3 linked regions of the Sus scrofa genome follow. The protein of the gene in region 2 interacts with the protein of the main gene of each other region in a pairwise test. Links are inferred from orthologs where the notes say so. Each region holds a gene or a part of one and is shown on either strand. Other genes may lie near its edges.

The links.
Region 1: the proteins of UBAC1 (region 2) and RNF216 interact in binary tests that used the Homo sapiens proteins (3 or more experiments, as listed by UniProt). The link is inferred for Sus scrofa from reciprocal best matches to the Homo sapiens genes UBAC1 and RNF216.
Region 3: the proteins of UBAC1 (region 2) and CPSF6 interact in a two-hybrid assay, tested with the Homo sapiens proteins (2 studies listed by BioGRID and IntAct). The link is inferred for Sus scrofa from reciprocal best matches to the Homo sapiens genes UBAC1 and CPSF6.

The regions. Positions count from the first base shown.
Region 1 is NC_010445.4:4,274,992-4,280,890, reverse strand, and holds part of RNF216 (E3 ubiquitin-protein ligase RNF216), read left to right. Parts: intron 1-1,310; coding exon 1,311-1,413; intron 1,414-3,346; coding exon 3,347-3,511; intron 3,512-5,899.
Region 2 is NW_018084833.1:1,654,951-1,661,610, reverse strand, and holds the start of UBAC1 (ubiquitin-associated domain-containing protein 1), read right to left. Parts: upstream 4,278-6,660; 5' UTR 4,242-4,277; coding exon 4,104-4,241; intron 38-4,103; coding exon 1-37.
Region 3 is NC_010447.5:33,523,584-33,530,048, forward strand, and holds the start of CPSF6 (cleavage and polyadenylation specificity factor subunit 6), read left to right. Parts: upstream 1-2,084; 5' UTR 2,085-2,180; coding exon 2,181-2,240; intron 2,241-6,465. UniProt on the Homo sapiens protein: Component of the cleavage factor Im (CFIm) complex that functions as an activator of the pre-mRNA 3'-end cleavage and polyadenylation processing required for the maturation of pre-mRNA into functional mRNAs.

The sequences.
Region 1 (5,899 bases), on a different chromosome or scaffold from region 2:
CGAGGCTCGAAACTGTGTCCCAGTCCTTCCAAGATGCCACTGATCCCACTGCGCCACAGCAGGAACTCCATATAGAAAACTGGGGTTTTTTTTTGGGGGGGGGTGTCTTTTTTTTTCCTAGAGCTGCACCCTCAGCGTATGGAGGTTCCCAGGCTAGGGATCTAATCTGAGCTGTAGCCACCGGCCTACCCCGGGGCCACAGAAACTAGGGATCGTCTGTGGCCTACACCACAGCTCACGGCAATGCTGAATCCTTAACCCACTGAGCGAGGCCAAGGATCAGACCTGCCACCTCATGGTTCCTAGTCAGATTCTTTAACCACTGAGCCATGATGGAAACTTCCTAGAAAACTTTTTTTTTTTTTTTTTTTGTCTTTTTGCCATTTTCTTGGGCTACTCCCACGGCATATGGAGGTTCCCAGGCTAGGGGTCCAATCGGAGCTGTAGCCACCGGCCTACACCAGAGCCACAGCAATGCAGGATCCGAGCCACATCTGCGACCTTCACCACAGCTCACAGCAACGTCAATCCTTAACCCACTGAGCAAGACCAGGGATCAAACCCACAACCTCATGGTTCCTAGTCAGATTCGTTAACCACTGAGCTACGCGGGAACTCCTAGAAAACTGTTTTTAATTGTGAATGTAAATACAAACTTTTTCCCATCCCTTAAAGTTTTCCTGACAAACAATAGCTGCTTTTCATCTAAATTCTCCAGTTCCATACAGTTCAACCAGTAAGAATTTCAGTGAATCCATAACATTGATACCCAAGTAATAGAAAAAATTCAGAATGTACATTTATCTGGTATTCATCAGTATGTTTATTACTTTTTAAATTAGCAAGTAAAAATAGGGATTCAGTGTAATTTTCTTGTCTTTTTTTTTTTTTTTTTTTTTTTTTTGCTATTTCTTGGGGCATATGGAGGTTCCCAGGCTAGGGGTCAAATCAGAGCTGTAGCCACCAGCCTACGCCAGAGCCACAGCAACGTGGGATCCAAGCCGCATCTGCAACCTACACCACAGCTCACAGCAATGCCGGATCCTTAACCCACTGAGCGAGGGCAGGGACTGAACCCTCAACCTCATGGTTCCTAGTCGGATTCGTTAACCACTGCACCACGATGGGAACTTCCATTTTCTTTTATCTATTAATTTGGGTTTTCCCCCTGATCCGTAAATGTTTTAATTCCTTGGTAGGTCATTTATAATGTGTGACTAGAGAATTTATTTTTTAAACATTACATTTGAATCAGTAGGCAGGTGTGGGATTTGGAAGCAGTATCAAAGTAACATCATTTATTTTTGCAGACTTTGTAATTTTCTTCTGGAAAATCCAGATTATCCAAAGAGAGAAGATAGAATCATTATCAACCCCAATAGCAGCCTGCTTGCCAGCCATGATGAGACAAAGGCAAGTTGTGCTCTTGTTTTGGAGTGTCTTCCTGGAAATGCTCTGCTCCTTTCGTCGTTTGTATGGGAATCAAGTGCTTTGTCAGGATGCTTTTTTTTTACAGCTGTCCAGGAGAATAGCATTTCAGAATATATTTATATTCCAGTAATAAGTATATGTGTGTATTTATATATATTTCTGAGCCACTTTGAATTCTGTATTTGGCTGCTTTCATTGCACCCCTGTCTTTCCTTCCCCACAAGGAATTAAACGAATCTTCCACATCTCTAATCCTACAAAGCAAGTACCTAAGATGAAACAAGAATTGGCTGGGATTCTTTGGATCATTTTAGGTTTTAACATTTTATTTTGAAAATTTTCAAACATACAGTAAAGGCAAAGGAATTCTCCTTTGATTACCTATATACCCCCAGCAGTACTATTAAAAATGAACGTTTTACTGTGTCCATTTTGTCACACATCCATCCCTCAGGATTTATATTTTATTTTATTATAATGCATTTCAAAGTAAATGCAAAAACATCACTGTGCTGTGCCGTAAATACTTGAGCATGCAGATTATTGCCTAGAGTTGAATATCTGTCTATAGCTATTCTTTTTTGTGTAAGACTTATATACAGTGCATCCACCTATGTAACCAAATCCCATATCAAGGTATATAAACAGTTGGGTTTTTAAAAACCTTAATCACTGTCTTCATTTGTTCTTTTGTTTGTTTTGGGTTTTGTTTTTTTGTTTTTTTGTTTTTTCTTTTGCCTTTTTAGGGCCACGCCCACGGCATGCGGGTGTTCCCAGGCTAGGAGTCTAATCGGAGCTGTAGCTGCCGGCCTATGCTACAGCCACAGCAACGCCAGATCTAAGCCTCGTCTGTGACCTACACCACAGCTCACTGCAACACCGGATCCTTAACCCACTGAGCAAGGCCAGGGATCGAACCTGCAACCTCATGGTTCCTAGTTGGACTCGTTTCCACTGCGCCAAGACGGAAATTCCCATTGTCTTCATTTGTGATCCAAACTAGCATTTATTGTCCTAAGTGGTGGAAGGAAGGTATAGTTTAGAACTGCTTCACTGGAATCTATTGTTTGATACTTCTTCTTCCCCACAAATTCTTTTTGGCTATTCCTTTTATGTACAGGCATTACTCATTTTGCTACTCTTCATTTTATTGCACTTTGCAGATGTTACGATTTTTTTTTTTTTTTAGCAAATTGAAGGTTTGTGGCAGCCCTGCATTGAGTAAGTCGGTCATTGCCACTTTTCCCATAGCTTGGTCTCTATATTACTTTTTGGTAATTTTCACAATATTTCAGACTTTTTCATTATTATATTTGTTGTGGTGACCTGTGATCAGTGACTTGATGTTGCTATTGAGAAAAGGTTGACTTGCTGAAAGCTCAGATGATATTTAGCATTTTTTAGCAGTAAAGTATTTCTTAATTGAGATATGTACTTTTTTTAGACATATGCTTTTGCACACTTAATAGACTACAGTATGGTATAAATGTAACTATAACTTTTCTATGAACTGGGAAACCAGAAGATTTGTCTGACTTGGAAGTCTATTTCAGTGATCTGGAATCAAACCTGCATTATCTCCAAAGTATGCCTATATTTTTCAGCTAGAAAAAAAAAAAGTCCTTTTTTCTCAGCATTTTGTGGAAAGAAAATGGCTAAAAGATTGGGTTTAAATCCCCAGCTCTACTTTTTCATAGTTCCAACTAGTAAAACTAGTCTCCAGACTCCAGACAGGCTGTATAATCTTTCTGAACCACCATTTCTTCATCTCTCTTCAGGGCTGGTATCTTCCTTAAGCGTAATTATGAGTACAAGTCAGATTAATCTGTTCTGTAAGAGGTAATTCTTCAAATGATTTCCTCCTCCCGGCAAATGCACCATCTGCCTCTAATGGTGTACCTGTCTCTCGTTTCAGTTGCCTAAGATAGACTTTTTTGACTACTCTAAATTGGCTCCTCTTGACCAGCGCTGCTTCATCCAAGCTGCTGACCTCCTGATGGCCGACTTCAAAATGCTGAGCAGTCAGGACATCAAGTGGGCCCTGCATGAGCTCAAAGGACACTATGCAATCACCCGAAAGGTGCTCTACCTGTCTCCCTAGTGGGCTCATACCTCTTGATTGCTTCTTCCGGTGGTAACAGAATGAAGAGTTCAGCTTGTGGAAATTGGGATGGTTTATGATGGCAGAGAGCAAAGGAGTTTGGCAGGGTGAAGATACATAGACAAAGGTATTTGCTGATCAGGAAGAACCGAATGAAAAGAAATACAGACTAGAAGCAGGGCAGTTCTGTTTTGACCGTAAAGACACGGAGGATGATGAATTTTACTGCGGAATGAAGGATTACTAGAGTATAACAAACATGTTCCAGCGCTGCTCCTCCTTGATTTGCTTTCTGACTTGGGGCTGGTCACACCATCCTTCCCCTGATAGCTCAGTTGCTAGTTGCATGAAGTAGGGTCTGTAAAGGGCCCAGGAACCCATCACTGCCCAAGGAGTGGTGGTTTGTCGCAGAAGAGAATGAGCAGCTACTGAAAGCTCTCAAGGATTTTTTTTTTTTTTTTTTTTTTTTCCCCTTTGAGGCCCTAGGTAAGATTCTGTTGAGTGCCTTTGTTCCAAGATTTCAGACGGGTGCTGGTCCCTGGTGGGTAACACCCATGCTCCATTTAGTGACGTCCTCTGTGTGGTGCCCATTTCATGGCGGTCTGTCAGAACAGAGAAGCCTCTTCTCTCTCCTGCGCAAGTTCTAGTGATTCTCAGCAAACAGTGTGCTTTTCTTTCCAGAAGGCAAGCAAATGTGGAGTTACTTTAATGGTTAAGACAGCCACTGGGTCTTAACTTGAAAGACAGTGAACCTCAGGTGAATCTGCCGTGTTTATACCCCTTCCACCTGTGGATCACCAAGATCCAGGCAGTCGTCCACAGACTCCTAAATGTAGGCTCATTTTTGGTAAAATTACTCTGAAGGAAACACACAGTGCATCCTGTTTCCGAATCTCATTCCCCATACTAAATAGGGAATGCCTGCCCTGTCGTTGAAAAAGAATGACTCTTCCCTGTCCCCGCACTCCCCCCACCCCCCAGTAGTGACCTGAGAAAGAAAAGGCTCTGTCCTCTTTATGCCCTGCGTGGCATCTTTACTGATCCTGTGGTGCCGCACAGCTTCTCTGAGCTCCCAGGGAGCCGCATGAAAAGTGAGAGGGCAGCACGCAGCAGGAAATAGCGCCTGCGGTCTGGGTATGGTTGGTCCTCATTAGACATGTCCTTGCTACCACCCAGGCATCAGTAAAAGGAACTTTGCTTTCAGATGCTTCTCCCCACTGAATGCCTAATCGTCCCAGAGCCTGCTAGTTATTTGGATGGGAGGTTGTAGGGTTTTGTGCCTTAGTTCTTGTTCATGCCTTCCTTATCTCTGACCGTGTTTTTCTGGCCTTTCATGTTTTTTATGGTGTCTGCTGGTTTTGGTGGGTAATTTTTAAATTTACAGGACTTTTGGAAAAAAGGGTTGTGAAATTTGAATGAGCATAAGGTGTTAAGGAGAAATAATGTTTGGCAGAAGCTAAAATCTGATGTGCTCAGTTAGAACTTGGAGCCTTTCCCTGCTGTCTCCATGTGGTACATGAGAGTTCGGCCTTGTAGGAAGTGACGCTCACGTGGTCAGGGCCATAGAAAACGCACCCGGAGATGCTTCCTGGTTATAGCAGTAGCACGTCTTCCCCGTGCCGCTCCCCGAACATGACAGCTGAGGGAAGGTGTGCTGACAGAGTCAATTTTCCCTGGACGTCTCTTCCTGTCACTTGTTACTGTGACCATCAAGCGCACAGAGAAGTAGAGATGACCTTGCAGCACACCCTGCGTGCTGCCACTCAGCTGCGGCTCTCAGCAGCCCCTGCCAGTCCCGCTCCACTTCCACCCTACCCACTTGCTCCCGCCCAGCCTGCTTGGAAGGAAATTCCAAGCATCATTTCATTTTTTTCATCCATAAGTATTTCAAGGTTTATCTTTAAAAAATAGAGACAAGGACAATAATTAAAAAAAAAAAAAAAACCACTTCAAATACCACAGTCAGATTGTAAAATTAACATCATTGGCTGTCCAGGCAGTGGTCAGATTTCTCTGAACATGTCAAAAGTCTTAAACAACTTGTTTGGTCATAGCGAGTTCCAAGCAAAATGTATTTATTGCAGTTGCTTGAAATGTTACTTAAATCTCTTTTAGTCTATAGGCGCTTTCTCTTTCCTCCTCCTTTATTTTTCCTTACTGCTTATTTGTTGAAAAAAATCACTTGTTTATCTCAGAGGTTTTTACAAGTCTAGATTTTGCTCACTGCATCCCTGCAGTGAAATTAAATGATTCCTCTGTCCCCTGAATTTCCTCTAAATTCATGGTTACATCTAGAATCTTGATCAGACTTAGGTTTGACTTTTTTTTTTTTTTTTCCCCCTGTCTTGGGTTTAATTCTAGTTCTGC
Region 2 (6,660 bases):
TCACGCTTTTGGGGTCTTCCGAGCTCCCGGGAGCACACTGGGGAAGGCAGAGAGCAGGTGCCCAGGCCAAAGGAAAAGGTCCCGACTGGGCCCCAGGCCTGACACGCCACCCGCCACCCTCGGATGGCCCGGAAGGGAGGGCAGCGAGCCACGAAGGCCTGGCAACGGGGGAGGCCAAACGAAACGCGGCGCCACCTGGCCCCGCAGGCAGCGCCCTGTCCACCCCCTCCCCACACCCCAAACGGGCTCCCAGCTCGACACGTGATACCCTGCTGGCAACGGGCGGCAGCCTGAGCTGCTTCCTTGGTCTGGAAAGACCTGGCGAGTGCTTTAAAAACGAGACCAGCAGGTCCATGTTTCCCGAGAACCTAACGGTCCAAGCGTGACTTGTGCAGCCCCACCCCCCAGGTAAGCGACACGGAGCGGGAGGGAAGCTGGTCCCCAGGGAGAGGGGACAGGGCCCTGGCCACCCGAAGCCACAAGGCCCCGAGCAGACACGACCGGCCTCGGCTCAGCCCCCAGCCCAGCAGGCCACAGCCACAGAGACCCCAAGAAGTTCCAGGGGTGGTGCCCCCCGCCCCCGGGAGCTCGAAGTGGGGCAACGGGCACGTGGTTGCATCTCACTACTCAGGGGCCCAAAAGCCCCAGGACACACGAGGGGAGGCACTGAAGCACAGGCTGGAGGGAAGCTGCCCCCCCCAGGGCCCCAGGGCCAGCGTCCCCACGGCCCCCTCGGTCATCAGAGCAACTTTACACCCCGCTCTGCTGCCAGCGCTCAAAGATCCGCCACACGCGTCCGAGCTCCCAGGAGGGAAACCGGCCCCTCACCTCCCTGCGCCGGCCTCAAGAGCAGGCAGGAGTTCTGGCAAATCTACCGCCGGAAACAGGAAAAGAGGGTCACACAGACTCCCAGGGGCTGTCAGTGCGCACACAGGGCTGGGCAGGCGTGAGCGGGAGGACGAAGGGGACGGCAGCCCCCGGCAGGCTTTAGCACAGGGGACCCCCTCCCTGTGACCGCACAGTGGCTCCTCTCCCAGAAACAGGGCGTGCTTCTTCTCGTTCTAAGATGGGCAGGCGGGCCGATCAGTCAAGTCCAGAATACAGTCTATGAAACACGACTTTCCAAAACCATCAGCAGCTTCCTGCAAAAACCGTAGTCTGCGGGTGTCAACAGCCGCCAGAGCAAAACACACCATGAGTCATCCTTGCTGTGCGTGCGAATTTCACTCCTTCCTTTGTCCTCAGCAGAGGCGCCGGCAGCAGGCCGGGAGCGGCAGCCCAGGGCCCCAGCACAGCCCGTCCGGGGGCAGGGAGGGTGGACACCCGCCGGCTGGCCTCCTGCCCGGCACGGAGACCAGTCTCTCTCACGCTAGCTGTGGTCTGCCCTTGAAGATACACCTTCGTGTGATCTGAGAAAAGGGCACGGCCACACGAGCAGGCCGCACACCAGCCGCTTCATGCCAGCTGCCACACACACCGACAAAACCCGCCACGTCACAGGGGTCATTTTCTCAAAATCATCAAACTCCTGTCACACAGGATGGTTTACTCTGCCCCTCCCCCAAGCCTGGTGATCCCAACTCACATAAACCCAGAAAGGAAAGCCACAGGAGCAATCCACTTCTGTAAGAGTTACGATAGGAACTCATCGATAAAGCAACTTTGTTAATTAAAAAATACGCAGGCACTTGGTCATGGCTCAGCGAAAACGAGTCTGACTCCTATCCACGAGGACGCAGGTTCAAGCCTGGGCCTTGCTCAGTGGGTTAAGGATCAGCATTGACGTGGCTGTGGTGTCGGCCGGCAGCCACAGCTCCAATGCGACCCCTAGCCTGGGAACTTCCATGTGCCGTGGGTGTGGCCCTAAAAACAAACAAACAAAAAAGTATTAACAAAATAATAAAAATCTGATCCCCTTGCTGCACAGTGGGAAAATTTTAAAAATAATAATAAAAAATGCCACATTCCGTGTGTGGGGGGGAACCCACAGTGTCCCCTCAGGTTAGAGGGACAAAGGAAGGAAGAAAGAAGGCCAGCTTAAGCTGCACCAGAGGAAACGGGGGGGGGGGCAGCACAGAAGCACAGGGCTGGTTTCCAGGGTGACAGTCAAGTACACAACCTGAGCACGCTCCTCCCTAACCGATGCCTTCTGACTGGCTCCCGAGGCAGCAAACTCTGCCCACAGATCAGGATGGGCACAGAGGCGGCACATGGACAGCTCAGCTCCAAGTTCCGCAACGTGTGTCAACCCTTTGGTTGTGAAACTCGGACCTGCTGCTTGGACCTCCACACCTGGAGAGACTGCAGAGCGGAATAAAACCCCAGCTCAAAGCAGGATCTGGCCAGGAAAAATCCCGACTGCAATAATATCAGGAACATAATAATTAGCCTCATGTCAAAACCGGCAGCCTGATTAAACCCAAGTGCTCTTGAGATTCATTAGCAACCAGCTGTGAACCAAAGAGTTCCCGCTTCTGCTCCCCTCCATAAAATAACGCCACCCTCACCTTCCGTGAGTTAAACTAGACGCCACACCAATATACCCGCTGACGTCACCCTGCCTGACTCAGCAGGTGACAGGCCATGTCCACGCGGGTCTGTCCGTGTCCAGGCATGCCTCGTTTTATGTGCCTGCCCTATGTCACTTCCCAGACGGTGTGCTTTTTGCAAACTGAAGGTTTGTGGCACCCTCTGTCAAGCCAGTCTATTGTGCTATTTTCCCAGCAGCGTTATCTTTAAGGAAGGACCGTCTTTTCTACACACGATGCCACTGCACACTGAACTGACTGCAGGGTAAAGGTAATTTGACATGCACCGGGGAACCAGATAATTCGTGGAATTAGCTCTATGGTGATGCTCGCTTTACCGTGACGTCTGGGACGGAGCGGCGGGCTCGTATCCCATTCCGCCACACGTCTGCTCTGGGCCCTCCGAGTCTGGCTCCGGGTGTGTGACTAGAAACCCGACCCCCGAGGAGCTCCCTCTGCAGCAGCTGGAACACAGCCCGCAGGGAGGGCTTCACAAACCGTACTAAACAAGCAACACAAAATAGCCTGGATGGTCAGGGAGCGCTCAGCGTGCCAGCTTAGTGCCGTCAGGGTGGCTTTCTAGATGGTGACATCGCCCGACTGGGTCAGAAGAAGAGAAGAGAGTGCTGGAAACACACCTGCCCAAGGGTGTGAGCCCAGGTGGTCTGCCTCCCTGATGCGAGACCAAGACAGTTACTCGCAGGCTGCAGGTTCCAGAAGGGGGCTCTGGCCTGCCTCTGACAGTTACAGAACCAAGGACCCAAAAGCACCTTGCGGGCAGTCACACAGCAGCAACTGCAGGCGGGTCCCAGAGACCACCTCATACACACGGGATTCAGCACACGCAACGCCCACCTCAAAGCTGCGGCCTCCTTTACCCTAAACTCTGACATGGAGACGCTACACTGTGCAAAGGATAGAGTTTCCTCAGCCAGGGTCAGATAGAGAGATATCTTAGCCCGCCTTACAGAGCTGGTTGTTTACAGAGATAAAGCCAAGAACCAGTTCCAAAAACTAGCAACCTAAGGAGCTGGACGAGGAGTATTACATGGGAACAGACTTTAAAAACCGACTCTCTCAGCGAGAAGCCCTTTCTCCTGTCCCTACCCCTGTAATCAATTTACAGGCCTCGGGGAAGCAAGGGCGCAGGGAGGAGTCCCGCAGCCGCACTATTTTAAGGGATTCGAGCTACGGAGAGGCCAAGCCAGGCCCCGGCCCACACGCCAGCCAACGGGAAACAGCTCCAAGCAGTCAGCTCCGCAGGTCAGCAGAAGGCGCCTCTCCCTGCGGGCCCCTACTTTCGCGGGCACCACTTCCCAGCGGCGGGGAGCTGCTGACACACTACGACCCCCACCCCAGCAGCGAGCACGGATGCTGGAAGCACAGGAGCCTCCGCTCCGGCGGCGACTTCGCCTCGCCTCGCCTGCACCCCGACGTGCCCCCGCCTCCCGGGCGGTCGTCGAGGTGAAACCGGAGGGCGCAGGGCCGGCTCGCGGAGGCGCGCCCAGCGGGTGTCGGGGGGCGGCAGGGAAAGGGGGCGAGGGAAGGGGAGGCCTGGAGCCGCGGCGGACTTACGTGCTTGAGGCAGCGCTCCTTGAGCTTCTCCACCGAGGTGTCCTCGGTCGCCTCCTCCAGCCACTCGGCGCCGTCCGACGCGCAGATGTGCAGCCGCAGCACCTTGCCCGCGAAGATCTTCTCCTCCTGCACGAACATCGCGCCGCCGCCGCCGCCGCCGGGGCCTGCGCCCGCCGCCCGGGCCCTGAAGGTCACCGGGGCGGGCGGGCCGGGGGCGGGGCTAGGCCGCCCGCGCGCTCCCTCGCTGGCAGCCGCCGCCCCGCCCCGGCTCCCGTCGGCCAGCCGCCCGCCACTCGACGCGGACCGAGCCGTCGCCTCGCTCCGCCGCCGAGCCGCCGGGGGCGCGCTGCCGCCGCCGCCGCGCAGGAAGTGCGTCACAGGGCGCGCCCGGAGCACGCCGGGAGATGTGGTTCTCCCGCGGCCGCGCGCCGTCTTTGCCGCGCCGGAAATGCGTCAGGGTGCGCCCGGAGCGTGCTGGGAGGTGTAGTTCTCGGGCCGCTTCCTTCGTCCGGTCCTGGCCGTGGGCTTGCGAGTTGGTTTTGAGACGGGGTCTCAGTGTGAAATACGCAATGGATCTTCAAGATCTGGCAGGAAAAGAGCCTGAAGAATACCTCCTAATGTTTATATCTTGCCTACATGTTGAAATAATAGTTTGGATATATTGGGTTAAGTAAAATACATCAAAGTTGGTTTCACCTGCTTCTTTTCACTTTCTTCTTTTGGCCTTTTTTTTTTAAGAGCCGCAACCCAGGACATATGGAAGTTCCCAGGCTAGGGGTTGCATCGTAGCTGCAGCTGCAGCTGCTGGCCTCTGCCACAGCCACAGCCACCTGGGATCAGAGCCGCATCTGCCACCTACTCTGCAGCTCACAATCACGCGGGATCCCCAACCCGCTGAGCGAGACCAGAGGTCACACCCGCGTCCTCATGGATGCTGGCCGGGTTCGTTATCTCTGAGCCACAAACAGGAACTCCTCTTTTCACGTTTTAAAGCTGTGGCTACTAGATACTTTTAGATTGCATATGTGGCTGCTGTGGTTCCTTCTGGACCGCACTGCCCTAGATCAGAGTCTCTCAAAGTGTGGTCCCAGGACCAGGAGCAGCAGTGCCTGAGAGCTTGTCAGAAGTTCGGGTTCTCTCCGAGTTCCGAGTTCCCTTTGTGGCTCAGTGGTTAACGAATCCGAGTGGTATCCATGAGGACGCGGGTTCAATCCCCGACCTCACTCAGTGGGTTAAAGATCCAGCGTTGCTGTGAGCTGTGTGTAGGTCACAGACACAGCTTGAATCCCACGTTGCTGTGGCTGTGGTGCAGGCCGGCAGCTGTAGCTCCGATAGGACCCCTAACCTGGGAACCTCCGCATGCCCCGGGTGTGGCCCTAAAAAACAAAAAACAAAACCAATAAAGAAAAGAAAGAAGCAATTGGGGTTCCTCGACCCGCTTGGATCCTCCGATCAAGGACTCGGGGGAGGTGCGCTCGGCGGGCTCGCGAGCGTCCCCAGGGAAGGAAGCTGACCTGTGCCTGACCCGCCCTCACCCGCCGCATTCATCCAGGGGCCTTTGCTGAGCAAGGCCACACAGTTCTTGTTCTCGGAGGGTGGCCGTCTAAACGGGGACCCAGTCCCAGCCCCTCTCGCCTTCACCGTGTCATACACACGTGATTTCCCCCCACCACGCTTCCCACCACGTCCAAGTTCCCTTTGTCCATTGACTGACTGCCTCCCTGAGCCAGCCCCTCGCTGCTCACTGAAAATATAGTCATGATTAAGCTGGAGGCCAAGGTAGAGTCCTGGGAATGTGTGTTCTCACGCAGGAGGTACACGTGCTGGCGGTTGTGCGGACACGGTCGCACAAGACGGGCGACCTGGGGGGCCAGCAGGGCCTGGAGGGGAGGCGCCGGGGAGCGGACTCCGGGCCGCGAAGGCACATGAAGGCTGAGGAGGAGGCGTGGAGAAGAAGAGGATCCAGGACGGAAGGGAACTGGCGGGGAGGAGGCTGGAGGGGCCATGTGCAGCCAGGTCAGGCGTGTCACTGAGCCACCGGGCCTGCAGAGGAGCCATGGGGGAGGGGGGACAGGGGACCCGAGGCAAGGCAGACAGCGACGGGGACGGGTGGGGACCTTTGACAGAGGGCGTCTGTAAACACATGCAGGAGGAAGAGTAACAGAAAGGCTTCCAGCCTGGGTGACAGGGAGCCTGGTGGAGAAGGGGCTGCATGGGAAGGCTGGAGTCCGGGAGAGAAGTCTGGCCTGGGGTCAAGGGTCAGGCAGCTGTCAATGCGCAGCGTGGCTGGTGGCTGAGACCGTGGCGCTGCCAACCCCCCCCCCACACACACACACACTTTACAGAAGAGCCGTGGAGACCGAGCAAAGGGGGTGCGTGACATTCTGAGTGCGGCCCCAAGGAACCCAAAGGGAGCATTTCAAGGAGAAATATAAGCCTGTGGGGGACCTGGAGATGCCACATGGCCCCAGAGAGACTGTCTTGGGGGGCCAGGAAGAGCCCTGACCACTGGGGCTGAAGGGGCTCCTCAGATACTGGGTGTCCCAGTGCTTGGGGG
Region 3 (6,465 bases), on a different chromosome or scaffold from region 2:
ACAGATAGCAACAGAAGTCTTAGAATAGGATTTTTTTTTTTTTTTTTTTTTGCTTTTTAGGGTTGCACAGGTGGCATATGGAGGTTCCCAGGTTAGGGGTTGAATCAGAGCTGCAGCTGCTGGCCTCCACCACTGCTCAAGGCAACACCGGATCCTTAACCTACTGAGTGAGGCCAGGGATCAAACCTTCAACCTCATGGTTCCTAGTCGGATTTGTTCCGCTGTGCCATAAAGGGAACTCCCTAGAATGATTTTTAAACTACTGAAAGAACATAAACTGCTTTCATCATCTTGTCTCCTGACCCTTGCCTTGCCCTTTCACTTATAAGGACTCACCAAGAAATCCAGGATAATCTCCCTTTCCCAAGATCCTTAACTTAATCACACCTGCAAAGTCTGTTTTGGAATGTAAGGTAACATATTCACAGATTCCAGGGATTGAGATGTGGCCGTCTATGATGGGCCATTATTGTGCCTGCCACATTACTAATCTAAAACATGCTCTTACCCTTCATCAGGAGTGGCTTTCTTCTGTAAAGCCCTAAGCAAAAAACGAAGAAAGTGTGTTGCCAAGAAGCAGAAGGCATTTTTCATATGACTTCGTTTAAAGCACTATTAACTTTCAACATTGGTGAGGTAAATATTACTACTTCAACTTTAAAGATTCTGAGATTGAACATGAGAGAGGTTAGGTAACTTGACTGAGGTCATCTAGCCAGTAAAGTGTCTGACTAGAAATTTGTATCCAGATCACCTGGCTGGTCTTGATGACTCCAACCAAGCCTTTCCCATCGTGCCAAGTATAGATATCACTTGGCTTATCATGATTTCTGGGCAGTATGCATCTTATGAAACAGTCTAACTTGGATTTTAAAAAGGGTGAAAAGAAGTAAAGAATGGGAGGTTTCAAGCTGGAGAGACAACTTTGGATAAAGTACAGTAGTCCTCACTTACCTGAGGGCATATATTCCAAGATCCTTAGTGGATGCCTGAAATTGTGGATAGTACTAAACTCTACATATACTGTTTTTTCCTCTATTAACAGGTACGGTGTAAGAGGTGCTAAACAGAGAGATGATTCACTTCCAGGGCTGGTTGGAGTGGGATGGCTAGAGATTTCAAGACTCTACTCACAGAGTTCCCATCCTGGCTCAGTGGTTAATGAATCTGACTAGGAATCATGAGGTTGCAGGTTCAATCCCTGGCTTTCCGCAGTGGGTTAAGGATCTGAACCTTCTTTAAGGAGGGACTACTACATTCATTGGCAGCAAATGCTTTCCTTATTAACCCGAGACTCGGATACACTATTTAGCTTCTTTAGGCCTCAGTTACCTCTCTCATCTGTAAAATTAGATATTTGGACCTAATGACACCTTTTCCAGTTCCCTCTCCGATATTCTGTGATTCTAAGAGGCCCCTCGCTTCAACATACCTCTACCTTACTGTGGTGGTGGGAAGGGGAGGGGGGACGAACCCCAGAAGGACTGCCTTCGTGTTAACGGCATTTCAATTACTCCAGAGAAAACCAACTGCAGATCAAAGGAGGAAAAAATGAAAGGCAATGAAGGGAGGAAGAAGAGATTAAAGAAGAGGAGGGAGATACCAATGGAAAGATAAACAGCATGCAAATAACCTAAGTAGCATGCAAATAACTCAAGATAACCTTCTAGGGTACCTAGTTTTTACAAGGCAACCCTATCTCAGTAGCCCTCTGAAGATACAGGGGTAAGACACTGCTCTCTTCCCAAGGCGCTCACAGAAAGCGGGGTTACACTTCGTATTTCATCTTGGACCTAAAACTTCCACCTCTCTAAAAACCCTGGCTGTGAGAAATATAAGAAAAGCCGACAAATGCAAATATTACCAAACGTTTGAGAGTGCCAGAGCTCCGAGACAACAGTCTCTGGAAACAAGTGGGACCACCCCCTGCCCCGCCCCCCGAGCCTAACCCAGACACACAAAAGAAACCGCCGGTGCACTGGGAGCTGCAGATTCCGCTCTCGGCGGGCCGAGCCGGCAGCGGCTGAGGAGCCCGGCGCCCCCGGCCGCCCCCGCCTCGGCCCTTGGGCCTCGGAAGTGACGCAGCGCGCCCCGCCCCCGCCGCTAGATCCGCTGCTGCTGCCGCGGCTGGCGGACCTGCAGGAGGCGGCGGCGGCGGCGGCGGCCGAGGCCGAGGGAAGATGGCGGACGGTGTGGACCACATAGACATTTACGCGGATGTGGGCGAAGAGTTCAACCAGGTACGTGAGGGCCCGGGCTCACGCCGCCGAGTTGGGCGGCGCTACGGGCGGGAAGAGGACTCGGGGCCCGCCGCGGGCCGCGAGCCGGCGTGGCTGCAGACCGTGCGCCCTTGGCGCCTGTGGGCCGCGCCGCCCGACCCCGGCGCGGCGCCCCCCTTGCCCGTCGTTCTACCGCGTCGTTTCACGGGCCGCGGGCGCGGCGACCTGCCACGGGGCTCCGAGCGCGGACGCCGGCCGCCGTGCAGCCACCTCCTGCCCCTCCCGCGCCTCCGCCTCGCTCTCCATTGTTGGCGGCGGCCGGCGGGCGCTTCCCGCCGCGCTAGGCCCGGGCGGCAGGACGGCGTGTGCGCGGCGGGGAGAACGGCGGCCCCGGCGCCCCCTCCCCCGCCGCCGGGGCGAGGAGGAAGCCCGGCGGGGCGCGCGCCGGCCGCCGCCTCGCCCCCAGCCCTGCCGCTCGGACTCCGATTCCTCCAGTCGCTCCATTTTGTCTGCCTTTCGGTGCACGGTCGCCTCATGGAAGGCCGCGTTCACGGCCCTTTGTATCCCGCGCGCCCTGCTTCCTGGGCTCTCCTGCTCGCGTTTGCGACAGGTTTCGGCGTGGTGCCTTCCTCCTCCTCCCTTCACTCTTTAGGAAGGAGGCTAAGGTGCGGGCACGTTTGCAACAAGTCCTTTGACTTGGGATCGTGTGTGAAAGTCGGTGGCGCTGGCCCTGCCCCGGTGGTCGAGGGCTTACGGTGCCTTTGAGGCCCAGCTGCTCTTGGCCTTTGTGATGAAAATACCAGTTAGATCGGTGGCTCGGGCCAAAAGGAAGACTTGGAAGCGCGATGGTTGGATGGAATAAAAAAGGTAGCTCACCAAGAGATCAGAGTTGTGATTAAAGAATTTCACACGCATTTCATATGGTATAGTTTTAAAATAAAGGTTGTAGCAATGAACCGATTTCCAAAAGCAAAATGTTTAGTGTCCTCCGAGGAGTTAAGAGAGGCCAGAGAAAGTGAGAATGCAAGGTTTTTTTTCTTGTATCGCAGGCCGCAGTTGCCTAGAAGGACTAGCCGCAGGAGCTGTGATGTCTGATGTTGAGCATCCTTGTAAAAGGTTGTTACTAGAGTAGTGACGTTTAAGCTGTAAACCTACTGTTCACATTTTTACTGCCTTTTATGTAGCAACACATTTTAAAAAAATCAAATTGTGCCCGACTGCAGTGTACGTAAAGGCTTTATTTTTTTCATATTTTCCAAGTCCTTATGAGAAGCTCAGTAAAATTCTACTGGTTAATGTGTTTTTGTGGGTTTCGAAAAAACCCTCTCCATTAAGACTCTTATTTGTGACGCAAGATTTTTTTTTTTTTTTAATAGAGAAAGCTGGAAATCCTTGCAGGTCTTTTTTTGAAGATTGATTGTATCCCTGTTTTAAATATTAGAAAAAAAATTCAGTTAGCTTTAATGTTTCCTATTCCGTTTATATATTTAAATGTAACCCGTTGTAATCAAACGTGAAGTTTGAAAATCTGTCTTCTTTTTATTGTGTTTACATTTTGGATATGTGATTCCTGAGATGTGTCAATGACATTTTAGAAAATTACCTTGAGTGCTACATGGTCAGATTCTAAGCTTTTTTAAGGTCTGTAGACAAAGACTTCTAGGAAATTTCCTTTCCTTTTATTAAATGAGTATAACATTGCATAGAAAAGAGGTCCATATCTGCAAGTAAAGGAACAATTAAGTGTTCAACAGTCTTCGTTAGCTTTCTTACAAGAAAATTTACTGTTTTTCTCCCCATGTTAAAAGAAGAATTGAGCTACACTTTTAGAAGTTGAGCTTTCTTCAGAACCTTTTAATGGAACATTTTTTAAGCTTTGGCATACTTAATTTGGGATGGACATTTCTCTAATCTGTATAGCTGGATGGAGTGATACTTGCTTATCCCTGTGCAGTAACTAGTGCTGACTGAGCAGGAGGTAAGGAGAGATTAAAATTTTGTGGCACCAATGAGGAACTGCTTTATAGGGTTCTTGTAAAAATGTAACTTTTTGTTGACTTGTTCCTATAGCATATGTTTCTCACATAGTTGTATGATTTTACCAATAAAATCTTTGTACTTTTGAATAGGTTAATGGAATTAAATAGAGGCTTTGTTGTTGTTATTGTGCATTGATTGGCCTTTGCAATCTACTGCTTGCTGTGGTAGTTCCTGGTTGAAATATGGCCACAAAAAGATGGTTGGTTGTTTTCAAGGTTTGTCCTTCATTTAAAAAAATGTAGGTATCATTGAAATATTTTTCTGAAATCTTGTCAGAATTAGAAGCAACTACAGAATTACTGTGATTGATTTAATTCACTTTCTAATTCGCTGGCAACCTTACTTCTACTGGTTGCTCTAGTAAAGTGACTCTTATTTTGTTGTAGTCGAGTAAAATGTTTTGCTAAATATAATGGGTCATGGCTTATTTTGACTTCTAAACTACTGTAAACATTTAAAAACAACCTTTAATTAAACTGTATTCTCTTAAATTCTTTGTAGTTTATGTATTTTCCATTTTCTTCTGTTTTAAATGGCCATACTTTTATGATCCTTTTTTCCATGTGTGTATTTTGGTAAAGCTCATTATAAACCTGTTGCAGAAAGTGTAAGACATTACATTTTTTGTCTTAGAAGAAACTTTAATTTGGGGATGGTGTGAGAATAAGTTAGTGAAAGTATAGTGTAGTTCCTTTCTTCACCAGGTGAATTAAGAATGGAGAATGAAATTGGAGGAGAGAAGGCACAGGGACTCCGCTATTCTTTATAGATGCTCTTTAGTTCTTTAAACTGAAGGTCTTTGGATGTAACCAAATCGAGAACAGTTGCCCCAGTGGAAGAAGGATTTGAAGTACTTGCAAACCTCCGCATTACTTGAATTCACTTTGAACTGAGATTTGTACTCAAATGTAGTAGTTACTAGCCTAATATTTAATATTTATAGACTTTTATTTTCACCAAAACAAGATAAAAAAATTTAAACCATATTGTTCTGTATACATTTCTTGAGTATACATCCCGCCCATCAGGAGGGATATAAATTTTGGGTAGTCTCCCCTTGGATTATACTGTAGTGGGGTTGAGAGACACCTACCTAATTATAACACCCTGACAGATGATGTATTATAATAAACCACTCCTTTATGTGTATCTTTATCTGTAGAATGTTGTTGGCAGAGGAGAGCAAAGATGAATTCTGTGAACATGAGGAAAGCTTATGCTAGGTGCATTGATGTAGTGTTATTTTGTTTGTTTGGAGAGCCAAAGGTCCTAGTTAGGATTCAGTTATTGATGTACTTGGTGGTAGGTGACTGATAGCAGTGCTCACTTAGTAATTTGAGCATTCAACTTTAAAGTGATTTAAAATGAAAATGTATAAACGTAGTAGAAAAAATTTATTTCGAAGTTATGGACTTAGACATCCTTATAAATCAGCTTGCCTTTATTTTTTAATTTTTAATTGCCTTTATTTTTTTGCCTTTATATTTATAATGTTTCTATTCTAGTCAATGCCTAGCTCATTTTGGAAAATTAGTTTATCAGACAAATCTCAGTGGAATCTTAGTTCTAATAAATTTATGTTGAATAGCGTACCCTCTAAGATAAGGCTTGTAAGGTGGAAATTGAGGTAGGTAGAAGTTCAGAAACTTGGGTAGAAATGTTTAGGGGAGCTAGAGCTCTCCTTACTCAATTTTATTATTTATGAGTAGTTCATTCAGTTTTCCACTTTGTGGTTTTATGTGGCATATTTTTAGTACCAAGTTGGCTTCCTTATCATTAGTTGAACTTTTATAGGGATTACAAATTAATTTTAATATCTACTTGGAACATAACAAAGTGAGAAATGAAATATTTTTTAAAAAGCCAAATGCATATTAGACAAACTACTATTGGATTTTGCATGCTAGTGTATTTTTCTTCCATGGTATAGAATACATTCTGTAAATGCAAAATATAACCTATCCCTGCTTTTATTTCTCTAAATGGAAATGACAATTGCATTTCTTTCTTTTTTTCTTTTTACTTTTTTTTTTCCTTCCCCAAATGGAGGAGCTTTGAAACAAGCGGCCTTTGCTGGGCCATTACTGGTAGTATCAGACGTTGCGGAAGTGGTATTAATACAATTTTAGGACCACCAAAAGCAGTGGTGGCTGGACCTGTCAGGGAGAATGGTGCTTATAATCAGCTGGAGCACACAGTCATTCCA